Drosophila melanogaster: one gene and its partner. The protein of the gene in region 1 interacts with the protein of each later gene in a pairwise test. Each region holds a gene or a part of one and is shown on either strand. Other genes may lie near its edges. The genes, in order: sws and Pka-C3.

The links.
Region 2: the proteins of sws (region 1) and Pka-C3 interact in a two-hybrid assay, tested with the Drosophila melanogaster proteins (one study listed by BioGRID).

The regions. Positions count from the first base shown.
Region 1 is NC_004354.4:7,965,205-7,970,395, reverse strand, and holds the start of sws (swiss cheese), read left to right. Parts: upstream 1-2,159; 5' UTR 2,160-2,854; coding exon 2,855-2,956; intron 2,957-5,191. UniProt on the Drosophila melanogaster protein: Phospholipase B that deacylates intracellular phosphatidylcholine (PtdCho), generating glycerophosphocholine (GroPtdCho). This deacylation occurs at both sn-2 and sn-1 positions of PtdCho.
Region 2 is NT_037436.4:15,951,757-15,956,786, reverse strand, and holds the start of Pka-C3 (protein kinase, cAMP-dependent, catalytic subunit 3), read left to right. Parts: upstream 1-1,989; 5' UTR 1,990-2,030; coding exon 2,031-2,136; intron 2,137-2,199; coding exon 2,200-2,262; intron 2,263-3,793; exon of another isoform or gene 3,794-4,685; intron 4,686-5,030. Other genes in the region: elgi (early girl), read right to left, coding at 1-37; GXIVsPLA2, read right to left, coding at 734-1,176, 1,240-1,399, 1,478-1,567. UniProt on the Drosophila melanogaster protein: Does not have an essential role in development.

The DNA of each region.
Region 1 (5,191 bases):
CTTTGGGCAAGGAATTCCACTTACTTTCTTTGCTTTTGCTGCTCCTTCTTTTTGGCTCTATGCTCTTCGCTGATTTTGTTGTTGTTGCTGCTGCTGGCGCTGTTTTTGTTGCTGTTGCCGAAGTTGTAACTGTTGTTTTTGTTGTTTCTCGGCGAGATCGAGATGTCACTTAGTTGCTTGTTTTATAGTATTAGTTTGCTGATTATTATCCTGTTTTCGCGTTTTCTATTTAGCACTCGCTCTCTCGTCTCCTTTTTGTCTGCCTTTTAGCCGGTGTTTTTTCAGTGCGTTTTCGTGTGCGTGCGTGTGTGTGCGTCTGTCGTCACACCCTTCACTTCGCCAATTCGAATTTCGAATATATATATCTCTGGGAATATCTGGAATATTTTTTGGCCAACAAATTTCTCACACTCACACAATGTAAAAAAAAGTGAAGAAAAAAACGTAAACAAATCACGGTCAGGGCGGCAATTAATTTGTAATTTCCTGCTCAAATTGGCAGAAGGCAATCGAACGCTTTGCTTTGTCCGGCTCTTTTTTTGGTATGGCAGAAAAGGATTTTCACGATTCGAGATTACTGATTGCAGGTTTTTCTAAGACGAGACGCATGCGCGCACAAAACTTTAAGTTTTACTTTTGCGAGAGAGAGGAGAGAACGACCGCTCACGAACTGCACTCCAGTGGGAATGAAACCCGTTGCGAGCGAAGTTGCGCTATTTGTATCGCCGGCCAGAGATGGCACTGTTGCCATTGCGGCGGCTTCTCACCATAGCAGCGCTCTGTTAGCACAGCCGTCTGGCTATCTTTGTAGCTTACCTAGTGAATTGGATACATGAAAAAGGAGTAGCTATATGTGCGATCCATTATTGTATAAGATGAGCATGTAAGAATTTTATTTTTAGCCTTCACAAAGGAATATCGATATCGATCGAATGGTTGACAAAATGACACACAAAGAAACATTTAGCGGGAAAAGAGCTAAGATCGCAGTGCATTCGAAACAACAGCCAGTTTGTTGTTGTTGGCTGTTGGCTAACAACAGCAGAAACAGACGTCTGCTAGCCAACAGCGCTGTTAGCTTTCGCGCGGCTTTTAAAATACGAAATCGTAACGGTCCCTGGGCAAAGGAAATGTGCATAACTTAAGTGCATTGCATATTTAATTGCAGCTGCAGCCAAAAACTGCATCCGAGACTGCAGCTGGCCACCCGAAAGACGCGTCTCGGCCGTTTTGCTTGGCTGGCAACCGAGACTCTGGTGGAGATGCTTTATGCTCTAATAACCCAAGCTGCACTTGCTTTTATTGGATGTTGCACGTTAGTTTCGGACCTCAGCTCCGATTCGGGTCCGGATTTCACCAAAATCCTTTAAATCAACACACATGAATATTAATACTGATTTTAGATTTTACAGTTGTTAATCACTGAATATTACCAGCGGCCGTCTCCGCTCTTCACGGCTCCTTGACTACCAGCAATCTTAAGCGGAGTTAATTATGCTCGCAAATTAATGTTTGACTGCATGCCAAGACATTTTCGATTCACCTGCACTGTTTTCAAATACAATTTAAGCTCTAGCAGCGCGCGCTCTGCTAAGTTTGTCGCCCCACAGCCATGTTCTTAGCTGTTGTCAACGCAGTGTCGCACTTAACATAGGGTTGTCAAGCAAGAAATAATGATAATGAAATTTAAAAAAAAAGTCAAATAAACAAGAATCTTACATTTATAAGCATATCAGCATATCACTTTTGTAAAAATTAAAATAATAATAATTTATAAGAATAAGAATATATATTATATTATTATTATTAAATATTATTATAATATTTATAAATAATAAGAATAATTTATTTATATATATTTGACTACATAACGTGCCTAACACAAATTTTAAAATTGGCTAAACGTTTTTTCTGATATGGACGCCCTAAGTATTATTTTCCAAATCAAATAATTCGGCTTGCATACACCTAAATTTTTCGAAAGGTTAACATTATTTTGAAATAACCGTTCTAAAGTCGACTTTGTATGGTCACTCTAGCGGGCTGCTCTACACAGCTGTGAAACAATCGATTTCCGGGCATATCGATGTTTTTCAATCCACCATCAAAGCGAATCGATACCAATAACAATAATTCTAGAGTGCATTTCAGTTTATTAGTTTGTAGTTACATAGCAAAATGCGCGTTTATTTCGGCTCAGTAAATTAAGAACATTTTCGTTACACGTTGCCACGCCCCCCCATCCAACGGCAAACCACCCCCCGCCTCCGCCTTCAAGACAGAGAGAGAGATAGAATAAAACAGAGAGAGAGCAACAACAACAATATATAACCAAAACGAAAGATTTCCGCAAGAAACCACAAAAAAAAACAACAATTGCTTTGGTTCTGATGATTCTCGTAACAGCAAAAACAACAAGATTTATAATCTAAATCAAAAGAAACTGTGCTCTCCGCTGTGCGTGGCTGTGAGTGCGTTTGTGCGGTACGGTGCGTGCATTATAACAATTATTGCACAAAAGGCATGACAAACGTGGGGCGGGGGTGTCTGTAAATGTGAGTGCGATAGAGCGCGACATATTCAAACAAGCTAGGGACGGAGTAGGTGAGCGAGGGAGAGAGAGAACGCGACGGTGGCAACAACAAAGGGCTGTGATTTTACTTTGCCCCCTCCACCCTGTACCCCGTCCCATCCATACACTTGCGTATTTACCAAATAAACGGAACATACATAAGCCAAAATAGGCAGAACAACAACAACATTAAGAGTCAACTAAACAGCAAATCGAATAGTTTCGTGGGAGAAAGGACAGCGTAGCAGAGTCATTGGAAAACTGGCCGCGTAAGGGAGCGCAATGGATGTCCTGGAAATGCTGCGCGCCAGCGCCAGCGGCAGCTACAACACAATATTCTCGGACGCGTGGTGCCAATATGTCTCCAAGCAGATCACAGCAACGGTAAGTGCACTTCACCCTTTCTTTGTCTTTTTATTTGCTTTGACTTTGGCTTGCTGTTTGTTTGCAATATGAGTGAGTCAGTTGGAAGACAATATGTGCGAGAGCGAGAGGACGCGAGGATTAGAAGGGCAGCTGGAAAGCTTAAAAAAAAATGCGATGCAGGATTACAGCTGTTCGGGCTTGTGTCCGTGCTTAACGCGCGGGAGAGAGAACGTGAGCGAAAAGAGAGCATGTGGATCTTACTTGAGCAGGATAACAGCTGTTTTAGGTTCATGTCCAGGCTACATATAATATAAGATTAATAAGTATTTACGTACTCACGTCACAATTCTTTTATATAATTCAAGAATTTTATTATGAATATAGCTTTTTTTTGTGACAACATCCATAAAGATTAGGTCCCCTGATAAAAATCACAGAATGAGCGATAAAGCAGACCTAAGTAGTTAAAGTAAAGTAAACAGACATTATTCAAGAAAACCCACTTGAGTATTGAGAGCAAACACCTGTTAGAAAATTCCACTGTATTTTGTATGCGATTTTTTAATGTGTAATCCCATTATCTTTATGGAAATTTTTCTAAAAAAAAATTTTTACAAAATGTTAGCTTGACGAATAAATGTCGGCCAGACATCATAGGTTAAGTACTTAGATTTATAGGTAGAAGAATCGAAATAGTCGCTGTTCCTGACTAGTTTACCATAACTTAGTTCTAGTAAACCCTATCAGCGGATTGAAGTTTAGACCCCAGCTAAAGTTTAGAACGATACAGGCTAAGGCAAGTGTGGATTTCAGGACTCTAATCTCTCTTAGAACCCAGCCAAATGATAAGAAAAGAGAAAAACCGGAAGAGAAAAGGGGAAACTTCCGTGTTTTCATTTGTCGCCACAAATCGAAATTGTTTTGTGGCCTTACATAAAACAAAACGAATGAAAAACAAAAACCACTGACTACAGTAGCCACATGATAACACCACACGACCATAGTATTGATAATGACACCCAGGCGACCCCGAAGCAAGCAAAAAAAAAAAAAGAAAAACTAAACCACCCGAGCTGATAACTATGATAACCGATTGCTAATCAGAAGCACGTGCAATCGTGGGCGGGGGGTGCGTACGAAATCAGTTTTCAATAATTCAATTAACCCCTTGGGGCCAAATCAATTTAGCCGCCTTGTGACTGCGCGAATTTTATCATTATCGTGTTGTTATGCGAGTGTGTGTATGTGTGTGCTGTCCGATTAGATCAAAGCAAATCCAATTGGATAAGTGCGTGTGTGGCGCAGCTTCGGCTTCCAATTAGACCGACTGAGTCAATTGGTATTTATGGCATTTTTTCTTGTACATTTTGCAAACCTGTTGTAAAAATAAACTGTAAACAAACAATAATTGCTGGGGGTAATAAAAGACAAACAGTAAGGTGCACAGTGAGAAAGAAAATGTGCAACTTATAGATTAAAAAAAAATGTTTATTTCTATCGAAAGAAATCGAAACTACGCCACTATAATTAACGTTTAATGAAGTGCGAGAAAACGCTACATTTTTCGCGCTGTGTAGTATCAAATGCGGAAACTGCAGACAATAACAAATGGGTAGCAGCAACAACAAATTGCCCGAGAAACTACTGCCACAACAAAAACAGCAAATGCAACAACAACAACCGCATCGAACAAGAACAACTCACTCAGAACCGCTAGCAACAAACAATAAAACAAACATACATACATACATACATACATATGTATGTGCAGCGACGTTGCGTCGCCGTTTCAATGTCAAAGTGCCGAGTGCAACAACAAGATTTAGGGAAAATAACAACAAAACACAGCTGATGCACTTGATTACACGGGCGTGACACTTGCTTTTGGGAAATTCCAAGTGTCTTCGTGCTAAATAATTCATCCTAAATAACTGGGCGACGTGGAAAATACGAAATGAAAATCATATTGGAGACGACATCAAAAACCCTTATATCCTTTCGTTTCAATGTCATAAGCTGAAGAAGAATGGGAAACTAATTAACCAATTAATTAATAATTAAGAAACGTGATTTAGCAAAGGAGTTGGCACATTAGTACAAGAATTCACATTTTTTTGTTTTGCATTTCAGCAAAAGTGAAAAACCATATAGAATCAAAAGCATATTATATCATAGTTAGATTACCCTTTCATTTTACTTCAAAAACACTTTCAAACACTTCAAACACTTTTAGTTCAATTTTAGATCAAGAAT
Region 2 (5,030 bases), on another chromosome or scaffold:
CCACCTCCCCCTGAAAGCGATTCACATCGTAGCCCATCTTAGGTCCTCAGCACGCTGGCCATCCGCATAAAAATACTATTAATAATTCTTTTCTGCGGATTGCAAAATCTGTGTGTTTTTTTTTCGGTTCAGTCAGTGCAGTGTTGTGTAGTGTGACTGAGTAGTGTTGGAAAGCTAGGATGGCACTTCAGCTGTAATCCGCGAGAAATGGCTTCTTAAAATAACTGTTTAGCTTGAAAATATTGAGATATTTTCTGTTCCACCTTAGTTTTAAACTTAAGTTTGACTTAAAGTCAAAATTTTTGATATAATAGAATTCTTGTTTGATCTCCATTCATTTATTTGTACTATTAAATTAGCTTTGGCCAGGCAGCTTAACAAATTAAATACGTCATCGTCCTGGTTAAAATATGTTTACACACTTGTCGATCATATGATTAATAAATAATATACATATCCTGCCCAAAGGACCACGTCAGCATAAGCCACCGGTGATTAATCAGCGCACAGTTGATTTAAAAATATAGCATCTTTATAATAGGTAAAAATATCAATGTATTTAACAGTCTGGACCGTTGGCATGCCACTATTTGGTATACAATAATGAAATTCGTCAAAAAGGGAGTCCAATGGACATGGCTACCCAATTCATAGACTAACACAACACATAAAACATTTAACGCTTAATCCGATACCCCCAGGTCCCCGCACCCTCGTAGCCAGTGATCCTGTACTATATCTCGTTGCGATCCTTCCAGCCATATTTCTGGCGCTGCTGCTTCTCCCTACTATTGCTATTACCCTGCCTATTGCCATTGTAGGAGGAGCTCTTCGGCGGGGCGCAATAGCAGGATCTCTGCTGGGAGTCCAGATAGGAGCGGCATCCCAGGGTCAATGTGCCGGTGAATAGCATCTTGGCAGCCGCCTTGCAGCCCTTCATCATCAGATCGCTGGCTATGGACTTCTCGTAGCTGTCGCAGTACTTGTACAAGCACCTCTTGAAGTCCAGGTCGCACAGCTCCTTATCGCTATTGCAGGTGTCGTAGCAGATATCGTGGTCATTGCAACATGTCTCCATCTCCTTGGCCGGCAGATAGTCTGTGCTGATCCTCAGGCCCAAGGAACCACATCCATCTGCGGTGGGGGTATAGAACTTATTCTGAACCGCTCTGGGCGCTGTAAGATAAACACACATATGGATGCTGGGGAATTTACATAATGCGCAGTGCGTCACCACACCTGGTCCTCCGATATCCGGTGCGGGGCACTGGTATATGCAGTTCTCGTCCACGGCCGCATCGAAAACCTCGTGGACCGTGCGAAATTTGCGCACCAGCACTATCAGGTTCTTGAACACGTCACCAAAGATCGCCTCCGCGGCTATAATGGCATCCCTTAGCTAAATCCGGGGAGAGAAGATACAGGAGTAACAGATACTAGCTCTCACAGATTTCCTACGAGAAGCGGTGCACCTTACGTGGACTATGGTGCTGGATCCATAGCCTGAATAGGCGTAGGTTAGGAACGTAAGAAGGTATATGGCCACCTTCATCCAAGAGAACTGCATGTTCGCTGTTTAATTCGTTTTTGAAGGGTCAGCTATTTGTTGTTTGCGCGTAATAATAAACTAAACTATGCGAAAGACATTTGTAGCAGTGTGACCAGGCGTCATCGTTCAAATATACCAACCGGCTCGGAAATCATACCAAACTGCATATGAGGTTGCATACTTTTAGGCACTGTCCTGACATTTCAAAAAATCCTAATGGGAAATTTAAAACCGTTTTTAAATATTATAAATAAAATACGTTATGATTTATAAAACAAAAAAATTTATGAAAAATAAAATCTTGTTGGCTTTGCAGAGAGTATTACAATTAATGCTATACATTAATAAAAGTAAATTGAATTTCAGAACACTGGCGCCATCTGGTACAGACAACTCAAAACATTTAACTGACAATACATATACATCGATATTTCGAGGGGGGAAAATTCAAAAAATTGGGAATAAACAAAATTTTCCTTAAATGGATTTGTGGCATATATTTTTGGAACGTATTTTAGTGGCTTGCAGAGTCAGCGCAAGTGTCTTCGCAAATTTCGGCTGCGGTTTGTATTCCAGCTGGAAGCTAAGTGAGTTGTTTCCCACAATTATACTTAGTGCGGCAAGGATACTAACATTTTTATGCCTTACAGTCTGCGGCGACCATGACTCGGCTTCCGGTCTGCGGGCAGGACTTGCCACGCCCACTCAAAGAGGTGAGTGCATGCAGTGTCCTTGCACTTGACAAACAGGACTGAAGCAGCCTCAAAACGAAATAGTGAAATAGGGAAAAAAAAGTCGCGCACAGAAAACGTAAACGCAAAGCTTGCTGACATCTCGTGCCTGCCTTCGCTTAATTATAACATCAAATTGAAATGCACACGGCAATTGTATGCGGCACCTGAAATGAGACTGTGGCACGCAGGCGTCACTCGTACTCGCATTTCGTTTGCACCTGACCTTGTTGGCCTTTATTACAACGGCCAGCGAAATCAACGTGCATAAACATGCGAACGCAACACCCGAAAACCGTTAAAGAGGCGCGCTCGCTGTTTGCTTAAAACCGAAACAGAGGGCTCGTAAATACACAAAACATATTTTCTAGATTTTCTCAGCAACGAATCGGCGCTGCCGCAAAGTCTACTGAAAACAAACAAGACACTGAGGAAAAACACCCCCACCATAAAAACACACATAAACCTTTTGATTTAAAACGACTTCTGGCTTGAATCGTAGGGTTAACTTATGTACAATATGTACATCATGTATGTATTTCATATCTGAATTACATCCTGTATGCATTATTTTCCATCTCTACTATAATAACCAAAAGTCTTAATATTTGTTGAAATAACACAAACATAAATAGGTATAAGTGTTTCTTGGAATATTTAAAAATTCACTGCTGACGAAAAGTCTGCTGGTACTCCTACACTTGGGAAAATCCCACATTTATTACAATTTTCCGACTTTTCGCAGGCAATGTGTCTGTTAAAGCAGTTAAAGAAAAACCAATCCAAAAACTACCCAACATTAGGATTATATTTATTTAATAATCAGGTAAAATCGTAAGATAAAAACGTCTATAAAATCTATTATTAAACGTTGTTAAAAGATAAAAAGATATTTCATAAGAAATATAATTTTGCATTTTCTTATTTATGATAGTAATGAAAGTTGTTATTACACAAAAAAAATATGATAAGAACAGTTAAAATATGTAAATTATTGTCTTCGCAGCGACAAAATATCTACTTTTTTGTCAATGTATGTATCTTCTAGATTAATTATTATATATATATGTATGTATGTAGATTTTGGTCGCTGCAAAGACTTTCAGTTCCGTGATGGTGTTGTCAATTAGGGCGCACACCATGCTGGCCGCCTTATCGCCATCGGTGATTCCGGACCGCCTCCGCCATCCTGATGGCGATGATCCTGTTGCCGCCAAAGCGTTTAGGCCCTCAAATGGAACGGCACTCGGGACACTTGGCCAAAACCAAATATCTGCACACATGGAGAGCAAACACAAACACATCCGACTATCAAGCGAGCATCCCGAAGCCATCTCTCCCTCTCCCCTTGGCTGCCAGCAGAAGCATCATTATTACCATCGTCATCATTGCCCACTGCCCCGCCCCTCCCGACCAGGCCGCCCCCTTTTCCGAACCACCACGACTGTGCTGCCAACTGCGACGCTGACGTCGACGTCGAGAGCTGTGGCAAGCGATTCGCAGATTTTACGTTTCAGTTTCGTGCAAAACGTGGAAGCGGCTGGTCAACCCAAGAAAAACACCACAGAACACTCAGAAATCATTCGAAAGAAAATTGGAAAATTTGACATTGGTCTTCAGACTAGTCAACAAAAAAAAAAACAAAACCTATTCAAAGTTTGCAATCATCACGTTTGATTAATTGCGCTCAGTTGGACTAATTTGGCAATCTGCTGGTTCAGCGGAGGAAACTAACAAAAAACCGAAGAAAAACTGCAAGTTGCGCTGTAAAAACCGGAAATTCTAGATCTCTCGGATCTCACGATCCCAGCGTATATAAACAAAACAAAGCGGCACCTTTAGACACACAACAACAACTAAAAGAAACCGAAGAAAAACCCACGAAAAAAGTGACACAAATAAAGCAAATCGCGATCGCTGTGTCCAGTCGATCCGCAAAAAATAATACCTATGGCCCCCGTATACCTATAACACCCATAATACCTATACCTATACCCCCTCCCGCCGAGAAACGCTGAGTGTTGAGTTTATTTCTGTTTCTGTGTCGGCTTCAGCGGTTTTTTCGCCTTTTTTTCTGTTATTATTGCCGGCCAGAAGCGAAGGAAAAATCGAAATCGACGGCTAGTCGCGGAAAATCGTGCGCTCTTAAAGTAACATATTTATTTTTAACAATTTCGCAAGCGTTCAAATTTTGCTCCAGCAAAAAATCAGAATCAGAACTCACCAACCAACCAGACAATCGCAACCTGAACAACAACAATAAATATAGATCGGCTGTGGGATCGTTAAGTAGGAAAAAAAGAAAAACAAAAACCAAAAGGCTAAAAAAACCAAAAACCAAAACAAAAACCAAACCAAAAGGCAACGACGACGGCCGGCAAATTTGGATCTCAAAATTTAGCTCGGTGAGTAATCGTGGGTAGTGTAAAAAGTGGAAGCCAGCAGCCAGCAACAAATCATAAATGCTTGCTTTCCAAAATAGAAACAAAATGTGGAGATAAATTCGTTTGATGATTAAGCTTTGAGTACTATAATTAGGCGAGCCGATTTAATTAGTACAATTAGCAAATTACACCTCACATGGCGGGCTAAATCTTGATATTTGGAGTGGAAGTGGAAGTTGGAAAGTGTGGGTTTTTTAGATACTTTGAGATCTTGCTAATGCAGTCATTAAGTTCGTTAGATTCGTAGATTAATGCGTCTTTAAACATTTAAATAGAGGTGGAAGATCTAACTCGTCATAATGTTAA